Arabidopsis thaliana: one gene and its partners. The protein of the gene in region 1 interacts with the protein of each later gene in a pairwise test. Each region holds a gene or a part of one and is shown on either strand. Other genes may lie near its edges. The genes, in order: ERDL6, DiT1 and AT3G62400.

What was found.
Region 2: the proteins of ERDL6 (region 1) and DiT1 interact in a protein complementation assay, tested with the Arabidopsis thaliana proteins (one large-scale study listed by BioGRID).
Region 3: the proteins of ERDL6 (region 1) and AT3G62400 interact in a protein complementation assay, tested with the Arabidopsis thaliana proteins (one large-scale study listed by BioGRID).

Annotation. Positions count from the first base shown.
Region 1 is NC_003070.9:28,228,526-28,234,922, forward strand, and holds ERDL6 (Major facilitator superfamily protein), read right to left. Parts: upstream 4,610-6,397; 5' UTR 4,082-4,609; coding exon 3,887-4,081; intron 3,565-3,886; coding exon 3,502-3,564; intron 3,412-3,501; coding exon 3,322-3,411; intron 3,222-3,321; coding exon 3,162-3,221; intron 3,076-3,161; coding exon 3,010-3,075; intron 2,932-3,009; coding exon 2,866-2,931; intron 2,774-2,865; coding exon 2,698-2,773; intron 2,605-2,697; coding exon 2,540-2,604; intron 2,411-2,539; coding exon 2,318-2,410; intron 2,227-2,317; coding exon 2,146-2,226; intron 2,049-2,145; coding exon 1,964-2,048; intron 1,885-1,963; coding exon 1,775-1,884; intron 1,673-1,774; coding exon 1,613-1,672; intron 1,518-1,612; coding exon 1,452-1,517; intron 1,374-1,451; coding exon 1,314-1,373; intron 1,210-1,313; coding exon 1,095-1,209; intron 1,000-1,094; coding exon 887-999; 3' UTR 501-886; downstream 1-500. Other genes in the region: AT1G75210 (HAD-superfamily hydrolase, subfamily IG, 5'-nucleotidase), read left to right, coding at 1-12, 104-226; AT1G75230 (DNA glycosylase superfamily protein), read left to right, coding at 5,919-6,397. UniProt on the Arabidopsis thaliana protein: Sugar transporter.
Region 2 is NC_003076.8:4,058,989-4,064,088, forward strand, and holds DiT1 (dicarboxylate transporter 1), read right to left. Parts: upstream 3,302-5,100; 5' UTR 2,932-3,301; coding exon 1,843-2,931; intron 1,614-1,842; coding exon 1,392-1,613; intron 1,302-1,391; coding exon 939-1,301; 3' UTR 863-938; coding exon of another isoform or gene 862-862; 3' UTR 591-861; downstream 1-590. Other genes in the region: AT5G12850 (CCCH-type zinc finger protein with ARM repeat domain-containing protein), read left to right, coding at 1-200; MYB46 (myb domain protein 46), read right to left, coding at 3,951-4,512. UniProt on the Arabidopsis thaliana protein: 2-oxoglutarate/malate translocator involved with DIT2-1 in primary ammonia assimilation and in the re-assimilation of ammonia generated by the photorespiratory pathway.
Region 3 is NC_003074.8:23,087,928-23,091,366, forward strand, and holds AT3G62400 (cytochrome C oxidase subunit), read left to right. Parts: upstream 1-1,668; 5' UTR 1,669-1,776; intron 1,777-2,356; 5' UTR 2,357-2,367; coding exon of another isoform or gene 2,368-2,485; coding exon 2,486-2,746; 3' UTR 2,747-2,894; downstream 2,895-3,439. Other genes in the region: TBL6 (TRICHOME BIREFRINGENCE-LIKE 6), read right to left, coding at 1-162, 249-441, 641-1,215; CP12-2 (CP12 domain-containing protein 2), read left to right, coding at 3,079-3,439. UniProt on the Arabidopsis thaliana protein: This protein is one of the nuclear-coded polypeptide chains of cytochrome c oxidase, the terminal oxidase in mitochondrial electron transport.

The DNA of each region.
Region 1 (6,397 bases):
TTTGCTCATCAGGTAAATACGGTTTATATTTTGCTTTCTTATGTGGTGTTTTGCGATTGTGGGGAATAACTTTTTCCAAACTGCATTATCTTCGAATCATCAGGTGGAAAGATTCGCATGCCTGTACACAAGCCAAGTCTCAAACCTACGCTTGTACTCACCAGACAAGTATTACAGACCCAGTGAAGACTTCATGTCCCATGAATTTCACCTTCTTCCTCTGTGATTCAGCCCAATGACCTCTATAGCAGTGAGAGAGTAAATCCAGTAATGGTCTGGTTTGGTACTTATTCTTAGTGTCTATAAACATTTCTTAGTTTCTCTTGCCTATTTGCATTTCAATTTCACTTGGTACAAGCTTGCGACTCTAGTGACATGTTATCTTTTGGAAATTTGTATTGAATGTCGATGATATTCCTTAAAGAGGCATTTCAGTGTTTACAAAACTTCATATTGATTGATCATATTTGGACCAAATCTCTACTATCCCCCAAGTTTTGTTTCCTAGTAACCTCAGTTACTGCTGGGCTAGCAACTTCTTACCAGTGGGTTTGCTTTTTCTTGCTGTTGAGTTAAATTTCTTGATCATCATATTAAAACCCTTGGGAGCTTTTCTGGCAATGTCGATGTTCATAATGCTCTCTCTTGGCAAAACCTTTGCTCTATGTAAAGAGTTCAATAAAATTACAAATACTTGAATGTAGTATGTTGATATACATGTGATAGAAGATAATGCGATTATTGACACACAACGAACAAACAAACAAATCTTAGTAACGTTCTCAGCCCAATTAACAAAGCTGGAAAATCTCTTGTTTCTTCTTGTTCTTGGCCAAAACAGAGAGGGAGAGAGAGGGTGACAAAGAATGAAGTTGTTTCAATTTGTTCATCTGAACAAGGATTGAAGTTCTTCAAGAGTTTTGCCTTTGGTCTCAGGAACCCATAGAGTCACGAACACCACTGTGAATGCACAAACCAATCCATACAGAGTGAAAGTTCCTGTCCAATATTAACCCAAAAATCCATCAAGATAATGCTCTATTGTCCCAAATGGTATGAGAGAAAGAGAAAAGAAGAGAAAGAGAGAAAGGAACCTCCACTGCTCCAGGCTAACAGCAAATTTGCTGTCATGGTGATCAACCAAGAAAAGAACCAATTGGCTAGAGTTGCAATACTTCCAGCTAAACCCTTTATGTTCACAGGAAGGATCTGTTTATCAAACAACAAACAAAGCAAGCAAAGGTAGAGTTCAATAAGTTTTTCGCTTTTCGGTTCTTACAACACTTAGTTCTAACTTCTAACCAACTCATTACCTCAGACATAATGAGCCACGGTATTGGTCCCATTCCCAATGAGAAAAAGACAACCATTGCCTATAACGATTCAACAGAGTTAAGGCACAAATAATCATTCATTGCATTCTAGAAAGTTCCGCTATATAACTAACTTACCACAACTCCAACTACTGACAATATGCTCAGCCAACTGTACATGTCTGAATCAGGAGACACAAATTCCTAAAAGAAGAGATGTAAAACTCAGAAAGTCGAATCTTGGATTTGTTGCAGAAGATGAAATGATGTGTATGGAAGTTCAAGATTTTAAAAAGTACCTTAAGATAGAAAGCAGCTGCAACAATTACAAGGCTAATCGTCATCCCAACCGAAGAGATCTGGAAAATATTTTCCATTTGCATTAGTTAATCTTGGATATGTCTTAAATCTTTCTGTAGAGGGAAGTCGGAAAGATATGAAAGTAATGAGTTAATACTCACAGTAAGCAGAAGCCGACGACCTGCTTTGTCCACCAACCAAGTGGATATTGCAGTCGCTACTACCTGAATAGCCCCGACCCCAAATGTTGCTGCGTTACTCGATGTAACTCCTAAACATGAAAACACGGAAAATGAAAAATTAAAGTAATAATATGAAACAAGAAGCTTCAGGTGTTAGAAAAACCCTACCTGCAGATTCAAATATTGTACTGGAATAGAATAGGACACCATTAATTCCACCAAGTTGTTGAAGTACAAGCAACCCTATACCAACCTGTTACACACACACACACGACAAAAAAGAAGTTTTAAGATAATGTTTCTTATGATAGACAAAGTATATTCCAAGGAAAGATATTCAATATTTGTACCATAAGTGGGAAATAGTATCTCCTGCGTTTGAGATCTACAAACCGAACTGTATTTCGCTTTGTAGATGATGCCACAGATCTCTGCAGATTTGCAGAAAAGATGAAAAATTAGCGTTTGAAAACCAGTCTTCATGTAACTCTTGGAAGGAAAGATTTTAAGTGGTAGTGTTACCTTGATTTCATTAACTTCAACGGTAATATCAGTCTCAAATCCTCGAAGAACTTGTAATGAAGTTTCAAATTCATCTGTCATACCCATTTTTGCCTACATTTTAACGAAATCAAGTATCCCATCAGAGATGATTAATGATGTTATTAAAAAAAAAAAAAAGAGTGGAGTAACCAAAATATGCACTAAACTCAAGAAGAATAAGCAAACTACTGTAAGGCTTACCAGCCAGCGAGGGGATTCGGGGATGAAAAAGAGACCTGGTATCAATAATGTACACGGCAATATCCCTAAAGATAAAGGAAGAGAACAGAGAAAGTGATTAGAGCGTAGCAATTATTCATAATCACAAAATAGTCTCAGGCCGTGTAATGAGATTTTACCCAGAACTGCAAGAATTCTCCATGGAACAAAGAGGCCAAGTAAATACGCCAACATTATTCCAATTGTCACAGAAAGCTACAGCAAGAAGTTACACAACATTTCTTGTTTAGCATTACGAGTCAGTACACAAAAGTCAAAACAGGAATTAGTCACTACACATGTCTAACCTGGTTAACCGAACCCAATCCTCCTCTCATATTTTGTGGAGCTATCTCAGCGATATATACAGGTACCTAAAATCACGAACCGAGTTGCATTAATATACTGAACCGTTATTCCATAAGTAAATAGCTAGTTAAGTTCAGTATTACAGTGTAAGAGATGATCCCAACGCCAAAGCCTTCTAAAAGTCTTCCCATGTAAAGAAAAGAAGTATCCTACAAAACCAGAATGATGTAAAGAGTTAAAGTCAAGCAACACAATCAAATCGCCAATTTATGGTATGAGAACGACAAAAACTCACTTTTGCAAATGATATGCAAAGCCATCCAATGATATTGGGAATTGCAGCAATCATAAGAGACTGTCCAAGAAAACACAATAAGATGTTTAGAACGCAAGAAAGAGGACTTTATAAAATGGATCTAAAACAGAACGATCAAGAATCAGATAACAAAGTATACCCCTTTTCGTCCAATGTATTCTGCAATCTGACCACTGGCAATTGCACCAACCATAGCACCCACATTGGAAAGAGAACCAAACACAGAGTACTAAAACATGGAGTGGTACATCAAAGTCAAACACGGCTAAACAAGCAATGATAAAAACCAGACAGCTCTAGACAATGATCAGTCCATTACCTCAGATACTGTTAAACCGAGATCCTTGGTGATTGCAGCTTGAGTTGGAGATGAATAACCACACTGAACAAAAGGATGGAGGGTTTAAGGACCAAACACAGAGTACTAAAAGATGGTGATCAAAGTCAAACATGGAAGGTTTAAGCAAACAATCAGAAATTCCCAATTCAAAGTCCTCTAAATCTGTCAGCAAACTTGAAAAAATCATCTCGGTTCACCAAATATGAGATTTTCAAATCACCAGACTTGCATTGAAAATGACAAATCAAACCAAACCCAAGATCATCAAATCCAGCTCACACTAGTTTTTCCACCAAAAGTCACACCTTTCTTCTACAAAGGGAATAAAAATGTAAAAAAAGTTGAGATTTTGAATTTGTCTTACAGTGAATCCGAATTGAATAGGGCCAAGAGCAACGATCAAAACACATGCAAGAACAGAGATAGAGCTGTCTCGAATAACTTGAGAGGAACCCATCATACTCGATTGTCTCGAACCCATCCGGTACCAGCTTCCGGTGTGAATAAACGGCCGACGCAAATCATTCCTAGCCTCCTCATTATCATCCCTGAAACTCATCTTTTGATTCTATCTTCTACAGTTTCTCAAATCCTAATCTACAAATCTTTCTTTATATCTTCAAGAACAAACAAAAAAGCTTCACTATTTAGCCCCCCTGGAGGTAAAATGCCTATTCTAAGCCGGAAAATGCCAAAAAAGAGCCGACTTTGGACTTTGTAACTCAATTTGGAAGATCTAATGAATTTGATGACGGAGCTTTGCTTGGATAAGAACGGATTGAGAGAGAAATGCCGTCTTATTAAAAAAAAAAAAACGAAAAAGGATTTGGGTCTATACGGCTGTAATGTAGTGTTTAATTGCTGGAGAGAAGAAGAATTATTTAGACTGCTTCAGGCATTTTTTTTTAGATCACAGTTCCAGTCGTCGCATCAACCAAATTTAGACAAAAATAAATAGAAATATAGCTTTGCTTCTTTTTTTTTTTTTGGGATAATTGGATAATTTATTTTATTTTGGATTCTTTTCTCTTTTATTACCACTTGGCATGTTTTTTCCTAAAATTCTAAATTTTATTAAAATATATGCAATTATTTTGGTAATATTTCTGTAAATTCATAGGAATATGAGGTCTTCCAAAACCGGCTAATATTTAATAAAACATATCTCATAATTTTATGATTTTATGGAAATGTGTCCACTTGGATAAGACATCCACATCTTACTTACACGTTAACAGATAAGAGAAATAAAGTATACAAAGACAGAAAATCAAGAAGAAAAAAAATGATGAATGGAAGTGCAATAAAAATAGTAATGTATAGAATCCAAACAACATACATTATATAAAGTTGTTTGGGTCATTTAAGTGATTCTATAGCATGATCACAAAGAGATCAATCCAAAATTATTTGTTTGAATTGTATTTTAACTATTATAACTGAAATCATAGTTTATAATGGTATTTTTGCGTGTGTGAAAATTGATCTGTGTGGTGTGGTGTCAATTGATTTTTAAAAGCTTACATATCTCTCTTTTTTTTGAATATGCTGAATTTTTAAAATATTGTAAGTTTGTTTTACATCAATATCATATATTTATAACTTTCCTATCCACTAGTCAATTATACATCAATAATTTTCGTACCAATTGCAATAAATATAAATTGCAATGTTTATGGAGTTTGTCAAACATTTGCTCAAACTACCCCACGGAGAATACATGAGCAAAACGAGAGAAATGTAAGAGGAGGCCAACACAGAAAAAGACACATAATCAAATCAAATCACACCAAACACGTCTTTGTGATCTGATCTTACTGTCTCCATTCATCACTCATTTTTTCTTTCGTTGACCACAACTTTACAATATCTACTTTTTTTTTTTTCTTTTTTTTGAACTTTATAATATCTTCTTTACATATATAATTATAATTGATTAAGTCTCTTCTTTCCTCCACATTTTTCACATGTAAAATACTCCCATCAGATCTTATTATAAACATAAACATTACTCAATCAGATCTTTAGTCTATACGAAAAAAAATACATCAAATACTTTCTTTCCTTCTTTTTTTGGTGAAGACTATTTTCCTCGCTCACACAACCCAAAGACTAGTTCTTGACCTCTAATAAAATAACTGTAGGGTTTATTGAGCCCAATTTAAAGACCCAAGCAAAACCATATTGGGCTTATTAAGATAGGCCCATATTGAGGACGTCGGAGCGTGAAGGGCACTCTCATGAAAAGCGCGTTAGAGAAGAATTAACGTCAAGACCCGAGACGCAACTTCACTCGGTCGTGGCTAATTCTCCGATTAGGTTTTCGATTCTCTTCGTCTTCGTCTCTGAAGCGACCAAAAACCCTAATTCTATCAATTCGAAATCTTCAATTTCACATGGGTGAACATTCACCTTCTCAACCATCATCTCATACTCTTCCTCCAAACCAACCGGAATCACCCAATCACGAAACCCCTAATCCAATTCCACCGGAAACCAACGATGACGACTCCGCCTCATCCGCCGGAGTTTCTGGCTCAATCGTCTCATCAACCACCATTGAAGCACCACAAGTCACTGAATTAGGCAATGTATCGTCTCCACCTACCAAGATCCCTCTCCGTCCTCGAAAAATCAGAAAACTTTCACCCGACGACGACGCTTCCGACGGATTCAATCCGGAGCATAACCTTTCTCAGATGACGACGACGAAACCGGCAACGAAGAGTAAATTATCACAGTCACGCACTGTAACCGTGCCGAGAATCCAAGCAAGGTCTCTCACTTGTGAAGGCGAGCTTGAAGCAGCTCTTCACCATCTCCGAAGTGTTGATCCTCTGCTCGCGTCTTTAATCGACATTCATCCACCACCAAC
Region 2 (5,100 bases), on another chromosome or scaffold:
CAAACAGGGAAGCAGATGTTTCATGGGCTCAGCAGATGTTAAAAGACTCTTCATCACCTAGGAACGGAAACCGTGTTGTGAACATGAATGGTGCAAGGCCATTGACTCAAGGTGGTTCGAGTGTGAATCCTCACAACAGTGACACTCGTGAGAGCGACATTCTTGATGCGTGGCTTGAACAGCTGCACCTAGATCGCTGAGCCTCAGCTGCGAGAGAGAGGTTCACATTTCTGTGAAGCTGTGAAACTGATGATTCGTTTATTTATTATTCAAGAAAGCAAACGGAAACAAAAGCAAACTCCGGGTAAGCTTTTTTCGATTCTAATAACCCTAAAAGGCTCAGTTTTTTCAGGCTTCTTTCTGAAATTTCTTTACTTTCTTATTTTTATCACCTCATTAAATTAATTATTGTATCATCTCTGTTGTAACAATGGCCAAAGTGCGCCTCTATTACTTCCCGGATTTCTGATTTACATTTTTTGTATCCTCTCAGTTTGTCAATTGTTTCTAATATCTCCTTCATATTTGTCAAAGAACACTGTATGAGAAATAATAACATATTGTTTCAGCTAATAAGATTCATTCATTTCCTATTGCTTTCTCTGCTTTCCTGTTTTTTCCACTAAACTTTAACCAGCGATTCATAGACTAATAGACATTAATCTCTCAACTAACACGTTTATGGAAGTCGAGTAACTATCAAGTAAAGTGGTGGTCTCACTTTGAAACAGTAAAGTTAGAAATCAAACAAAATTGACGCAAGTTAAGATTGCTTACACTTCAAAATGTGTGTGAGTGAGAATAAAAATTGCAGAAAAACTCTGCTCAATCCTTATAACCCTGATTTCAATCCTTCTCAAATCTGAATCTCAAAGCCGTTCTAAGAGATTATATATATAAGTAAGGAAAAGAATGGGAAGATTGGTGTATGGTGGTCCTCACCACAAGCCAATGAACTTCCACCAGGCACCACCTACACCAAGCCAGATGAGAATGTTGACTATTGAAATCAGGAATCCATAGCCCCACCATTTAGCCAGCGGCACGTAGTTAGCTCCGTAGAAGATAGGCGCAGACCCGATACCATAATGGGTCAATCCTCCCATCAGGTTGGAAAGGAACGCAAGAACCAAGGCTGCAAAGTAAGGTGGAGTGCCTAGAGCGGTTGAAACCGATAAAAAGGCAGTGAACATAGCACCAATGTGGGCAGCTCCACTAGCAAAGAAGTAGTGAGTGTAGAAATACAAGAGGACGAGGATTCCAAAAGATAGCTGCCATGACAAACCCAATCCTCCCACAAACTGCAATCAAAACCCAAACAATGTCAAAACATTTCATTAGCATGCTAAGTCATTAGGCTTATTAAGCATTCATCAAATCATTTAACAAACCTTGACTACGGTCTGGCTGAACCACTCAATGAGACCATATTTGTTAAGATAACCAGCCATCGCAATGAGAGCAGCGAACCAGGTGAGTGTGTCCCATGCGACCGACTCAGCTAAGCACTCTTTCCATGTCACAACACCTGTCACAAGAAGGACTGATAATCCAAGAATGGCTGCAGTCACAGCATCTACACCCAACTTAGCTCCAAAGATCCAGAGACCAACCTGTGTCAAGGAGAACACTTTTTTAGAAAAGGAAAACCTTCTCTGTAATAAAACACCAAAACCACAAACATTTTCACTCAAAGCAAATGCATTAAACAGAAGCAAAGCCCTAGCTTAATCTAAGGAGCTACAATAGCTAAAATCTCTCAATGTTCAATACTGAAGCACCTTTCAAATCAAGCTCTCACCATAAGTAAGAACAGATCCGATGAAGCAGAAGCACACTTACCGTGAGGAATAAAGTGGCAGCCATAATCAATTCGTTCTTAGACATAGGTCCCATCTTGTCAAGCTTTTCCTGAGCCAGCTTAGGAGCATCAGGACTGCTCTTCACCGTAGGAGGATAGATGAGATACAAAAGAAACGGAACAACAATCAAAGACACAAGTCCTGGTACAATCGCAGCTTTAGCCCAATCAGTCCATCCAATCGTCTGCTTAATCGTGTTAAACGCCAAATTAGCACTCAAAGGATTCGCAGCCATAGCCGTCAAGAACATAGAAGAAGAGATCACAGAAGTCTGGAAACAAGTAAGCATCAACCACGAGCCAAGACGGTGCTCTGTTCCATCCCCAACGTTACTCCCACAAGCAACACAGAGAGATTTCACCAACGGGAGAAAGATTCCACCGGCACGAGCCGAGACAGAAGGAATCGCCGGAGCTAAAAGAGCTTCACTGAAGACGAGACTGTAACCGAGACCAAGGGAGGAGCTACCGAAGAGTCTAACGAACTGGTAAGCTACACGGTTACCGAGACCGGTTTTGATGAAACCGCGAGCGAAGAAGAAGGCAAGAGCGATGAGCCACGGGATTGGATCTCCGAAAGCGGAGAACGCGGCGGCGAACGTTAGGGTTTTGGTGAGAACGGAAGCTCCTAATCCCATTAGAGCAACAGCACCGAGAGGAAGCGGCTGAGTGATGATCCCGACGATGGTGGCGAGGAAGATCGCGAGTAATTGCCACGCGTTGCGAGTGACACCTTCGGGGACTGGAACGAACCATAGAATCAAACCAGTAGCGATCGAAGCGAGAAGAGGCTTAATGGCAGCTCCTTGCCATGGAACCGGAGCTGGAACCAAAGGAGGAGTTGGAGAAGAGGAAGCTGAAGCGACGGTGGAAGAGGCTTTAACGAGAGTTGATGATCTCCGGCGTAAAGAGACGGGAAGTGGAGATTTGAGTAAGGAGAAGCGAGAATCGAGAGATCGGAGAGGTTTCGTCAAATTGAGAGAGGAAGAAGGAGGACGAGGGAGAGAGAGAGATCGAGATTTGAGAGGGAAAGCGAGAGAGCAGGAGCCGGAGAGAGCGAGAGACGCCATGGTTGTAGCGTCGTCGGCGAGAGAGAGGTGTGAAGAGGAGAGGGAAGTGAAGAAGGAAATGAGTAAGAAGAGGAAAGAGAGAGTTGGATAAATGTTGACCGTTGGATTGGAATCGGACGGTGAGATTAAGAAAAGGAATATACGGACAAGAGTGAGAGAGAGTGATGATGAGATGAGATCGTGAGGTGAGAAATAGAGATCTCCGTCTTTGGTGGGTCAGTCACCTCATCCTATTGGCTGAAATATTTACGAAAAGCCATTTTGGGTTTGGGTTTGGTCTTTTTAGATCGACGAAACATACAAAGCAAAATCCTTCACTCAACAAATTTTCTATTGATTTATTAGCTTTGTTTTTTGGTTTTGAAAGATCTTAAACTATGCGTTTACTAGTGGATCGTCCAATGAAAGATTAACTGGCAATAGAATAGTAGCTTTCATTACATTGTCCAAGATGGGCCGAGATGGCTTCGCTTGGAATTAAATCTAGTGTAAACCCTTAAGCGGCCTCTCGTTTTTTTTTCTTTGAGTGTTATATGGTTCATAGTTTTGATTTGTTTGTTTAGAGTAAGGTGTGACATCAAATATTGAATACATGATTCTTTTATGTAAGAGGATACTTTCTAATGTGAATGTCTAAGAAAGTTACCAAATGTTTTAAAGTACATTCAATAAAACAAAATGTTCAGTTTTATCCAAAGATATAACATCAGAAAAACTTTCATTTAATTAGTTCAATCTTCTCCATTGCTACTTGATTACAAAATTCTTCAAGTGTTTGCCCCTGTTATATTAAAGAATGTATGTGCTTATTATTTCTTTTATTTATTTATTATAGGATATATGTTTTACATTGACTAATCATTACATGGCACCTCAAGGCTCAAGCCCTAGTACGAAAAGATTATTCGAAATACAAAATACTCTCTAACAATGTATATATATTTGCATTTATGTGTGTGTGGCTAAGAATCTTGAGTATAAACCGCAATAGAAAAAAGAATAAGATGACGTAAAAATATTCATATGCTTTGTTTGAAGTTGAAGTAAAACGAAGGAACCTCAGTGTTCATCAACTGGTCAAGGTCCCAAAATTCTTCCACTGGTCTCATACCCTCAGGTGCGTTTCCGGATCCATTAGTGTTCAACTCGTCTAAGTGGTTGTTTATATTTGCATTGTACCAATCACCTTCTTCACATTCCAAAGGTGGGAAGTAGAGTTCCCCTTGTACCCCTGCGTTTACTCCATAGATACCATCTACATAAGGGGTAAAATCGTCATTGCACGGGTGGCTGATCATGTTTCCCGTTGGAAATGGATTGTTGGTTTGTATGTGGGTCAAGGAAGGGTTGACGAAGCCTTGTTCTTGTAAGGACATGAAGCTTCCTATAATGTCTTTAATATCCAAAGAAGATGCGGAATTAGAAGAGGAATCGCTTGCTGTGTTGGGTGATGAGGATGAGTTGTTGATTAAGTTGGAGGTATCGGACATCTTCTTTAGCCTTTTCTTTATTGTTGAGTTCCAGAAATTCTTGATCTCGTTATCGGTCCGACCAGGCAATCGTGCTGCAATCTGAGACCACCTATGAAATCGAAGAATAAGAGAGTAGAATAGTTTAATGAGATGATGTTATGTAAAATGTATACCAGTGCATGGTTTGCATGGGAATTAGAGAGTGATCCGTTCTTCATGTTTTTTATGTTTGAGTACGTGAAAAAGAGGCAATATATCAACAATTATAAAATTGCACAATCATATTAAGCAATAAAATGACATTATACACACTGCGTGTTTTGAATTGAATCTATATATATATATATATATATATATATATATATATATATATATATAAATAGAGAGGAAACATGTCCTGCGTAAAAAACACTAGAACGTATATTTCTGGAGAAAGTGACAAAAAAAGGAACTAATAAATATATAATTACAAAGATGAAAGTTGAAGTAAAACCCTAAGGAAGAGAAGAAAAGGTGTGTAAAGTGACAAAAGCCGCTTTCACTAAAATAAGTGTTTGTTGTTAGATAAGATCATAAGACGCACTCTAAGTCTTAAAACCCACGATCAACGAACTTTGACCACTCACATAATTACATGTGAATGTACTCATACCTATTTTGGTTTTATGCGTCTATTTCCATTCTTACTACTATTATT
Region 3 (3,439 bases), on another chromosome or scaffold:
ATGAGCTGTATTGAACACTAAGATATTAGCACCTTTCCATCTGGAAGAGGTTCGATCCATAGCATCGATTCTAAGTGTTTCTCTTCGCTTCTTTCCTATTCTTGCTCTACCCTCACGAACCAAGAAATGAGTAACATAGAATTCCACAGTGCATTTATAATCCTAGTCAAGTACACAAACATGACATTAACACAACCACACGCCTGAAATACACTTAATGGTCCATTAAGATTAAAGTCATATTGTACCACGAAACGGAAGCTATAATTCCCTTTCTCTTTGGTGATTCTTCGGTTGTGCGTTTCGTATACTCTCTTGGGATCTTTAACAGCTTGAAACAACAAACAAAGCATAGATTCCCATTGGTTCCTATTAATTGAATCTCCAACGAACACTAGCCTCTTGCCTCTAATCATTTCCAGCATCTTTGTAGCATTGAACCTAAACTCACACATACCACAATTTCCAATTCAGGACCATGAATTGCATTCCTACTTATTCAGAGAGATTAAGTGCTCAGTGGAACTATGAATCCCACTTATCATCATCAGTCACTATCACCAACCACTACTACTTCAATAGAGAGATCTTCTTAAAGGCCTACGAGGAAAACAACAAAATTAGAAAGAAGAAATTAAACCTGGGAGCATGACAATCCTGAGGCTCCCATCTCCAATTCATGTAATTAAGATCCAATCTTCCATTGCTTTGACAACCAAATCCTTCATCGATAAAAGGACAAGACGCATTTGTGTACAATGGATAATCACTATCGTAAACCCACTTCCCTTTCGTAACATCACATTCTTCGATTCTCTTCTCTGTCTTCTTATCTTCACCATTGTTGCTCGGAAGTTCAATCACTTTAATCGAAGTTAAATTAGCAATTTCCCTAACTTCCTTAACCAAACTCTCGCCGCTAATCTTCTGCTCAAAAACAGAAATTTTTGAAGACCCGGAAGTGTTTTCGGGTGAATTGAAATGGGTAGAGATCAGAATCGGACTTGCTTGAGGAGAAACTGAAGAATCGGAAATGGCGGCAATAGGGCTTAAATCGATCTGGAAGTTAGCTTCTGGTGTTGGGTAAAGAGAAGAGTTAGATTTGAGTAAGGAAGAGGAGAAGAAAGTGAAGAAAACAATGGCGGAAGAGATTATTGTGATGATGAATGCTAAGACTCTTGTGGACTTCACAGAGAAACTTCTTTGTCTCTCCATCTTCTATCTCTTTATTTATTTTTTCTCTGTAACTGTTATAAGTTAGTTAAGAAAAAACAGTTTCATAATTATCTGTAATCAGAGAAATTTGAAATCGAAAAATGGAACTGTTTGAGAAAAGGATTGAAATTTTGGAGTCGACAAAGGTGGTTGAATTAGTGGGGTATAGAGGAGAGATTCGGTGAAGAAATGATAATGACGTTCTTACAAACTCGTGAGCTCATGAATTTTACAATAATTAACGGAACAGAGGGAAAGATAATGATTATTTAAAAAAGTTCAGGATTAGGAAATTAGTTTAGTGTGTTGACAGATTGGATTTGGCATTATTAACGTGGTGGGACACACTCGGGGAACACGAGCAGCGAATGGTTTACTTTTTTAAAAAGCAAATTCCATAAAATGCCCATTGAAGAAATAAGAGATCAGGCCCATGTTTAAGGCCCAATAAGACACAAATGGAGTAGAGAAGTGATTATCTGCTTACGCAACTTCTTCAATCACCCACCATTTCGTTTTCGTCGTGAGCTTCTGTCTCGTTCATCTACACAATCTGACTCGGTAAAGTCCATATTCTTCCCTTGATGATAATTGTTGTTTCCTTTATGATTTTGTGGTGATTTTCGTTATAGATAGGTGGCGGATTGTGAAGTTACGATTAATTTTTATCAGATTCGAATCCATTTCTCGTTTTTTTTCCCGTGTAGATCGGTGTGCTTAAGATCGGAATTTCTCGTTTAAATCTTCCGTTGATTTAGATTTGATGCTCTTAGTGTTGTGATGCTTTGAAACGTTAATCCTTTTCTTCGGGAGAAATGCCAATTTTATTTTCAGTATCTGGATCCTGTGGATTAGGGTTCTTGTATCATTTTGGGAATAAATTCAAAGCCTTTGATATCTTCCTTTGAATAGAGACGTAGTTAAGAGGTTAGACAGAAAATGGATCGAAATTGTACATGTTTATGTGTATATATAGACTCCAAGTGCAAACCAGTAGAAATTAAGAGATCAGGTAGATTAGTGTGTGTGTGTGTATAGATGTTTTATTGGTTGTCAATAAAGTTTTCAGCTTTAGGAATCGTGAGCATTGTGAAAGTATCAATTATGTTAGTATTGACTCTATGATTAAAATGTGTGCTAGGTTGAGAAGAAATGGCAGGACACAAGGTTGCGCATGCCACATTGAAAGGCCCGAGTGTTGTCAAGGAATTGATTATTGGTTTGACGCTTGGTTTAGCTGCTGGTGGTCTCTGGAAGATGCACCATTGGAATGAGCAGAGGAAAACTAGAACTTTCTATGATTTGCTTGAGAGAGGTGAGATCGGTGTTGTCGCCTCTGAAGAGTGAATGGGAATGCCTCTCTCTCACTCTCAATGTTGTTGGCTCGATTTTTCTGTTTTTATGGTTTCTTGAGATCTCAGATAAGTTACCTAAGAAAGTTGGTTGCTTGAGAAATAAACAACCACTCAGACATCAAAATTGGATATTTGTTAACACATTGTTTTCCGGAGATACAGTGGTTGAAACTTGAGACATCTGTCTTGACTTTTCCTTAAACAGTGTGTGATCATTTTATTATACTTACCAGCTTATTTTTTCTCATCTTTTTTGGATAAAATACGCAACAGGCACTTGTATCTTAGAAAACGGCTTGGATGGCTGCAAATTTTCAACATCGTACTGCTTCATAAACGATATCAAATACGTGGAACTTAATTGTTGGTTAATAGAGGATAAGAAATGGGGTTCACAGAATTAAATTCACGCACACTTCATATATCTTGTTCCCTCCCAATTATCTGAACTATCTTCTTTTATCAAAAACTATATTCACAGGCTGCCGTGTACCTTCTCCATCCAAAGATGGCAACTATAGCTACTGGTCTTAACATTGCAACCCAGCGTGTCTTCGTCACCAGCGAGAATCGGCCAGTTTGTCTCGCCGGTCCGGTCCATTTGAACAATTCGTGGAATCTTGGGTCAAGAACAACTAACCGGATGATGAAACTTCAGCCGATTAAAGCAGCACCGGAAGGAGGGATATCGGACGTAGTGGAGAAAAGCATTAAGGAAGCTCAGGAGACTTGTGCGGGCGATCCTGTGAGTGGAGAGTGTGTAGCTGCGTGGGACGAGGTTGAAGAACTTAGCGCAGCAGCTAGCCATGCTAGAGACAAGAAGAAGGCTGATGGTTCGGACCCTTTGGAGGAATACTGCAAAGACAATC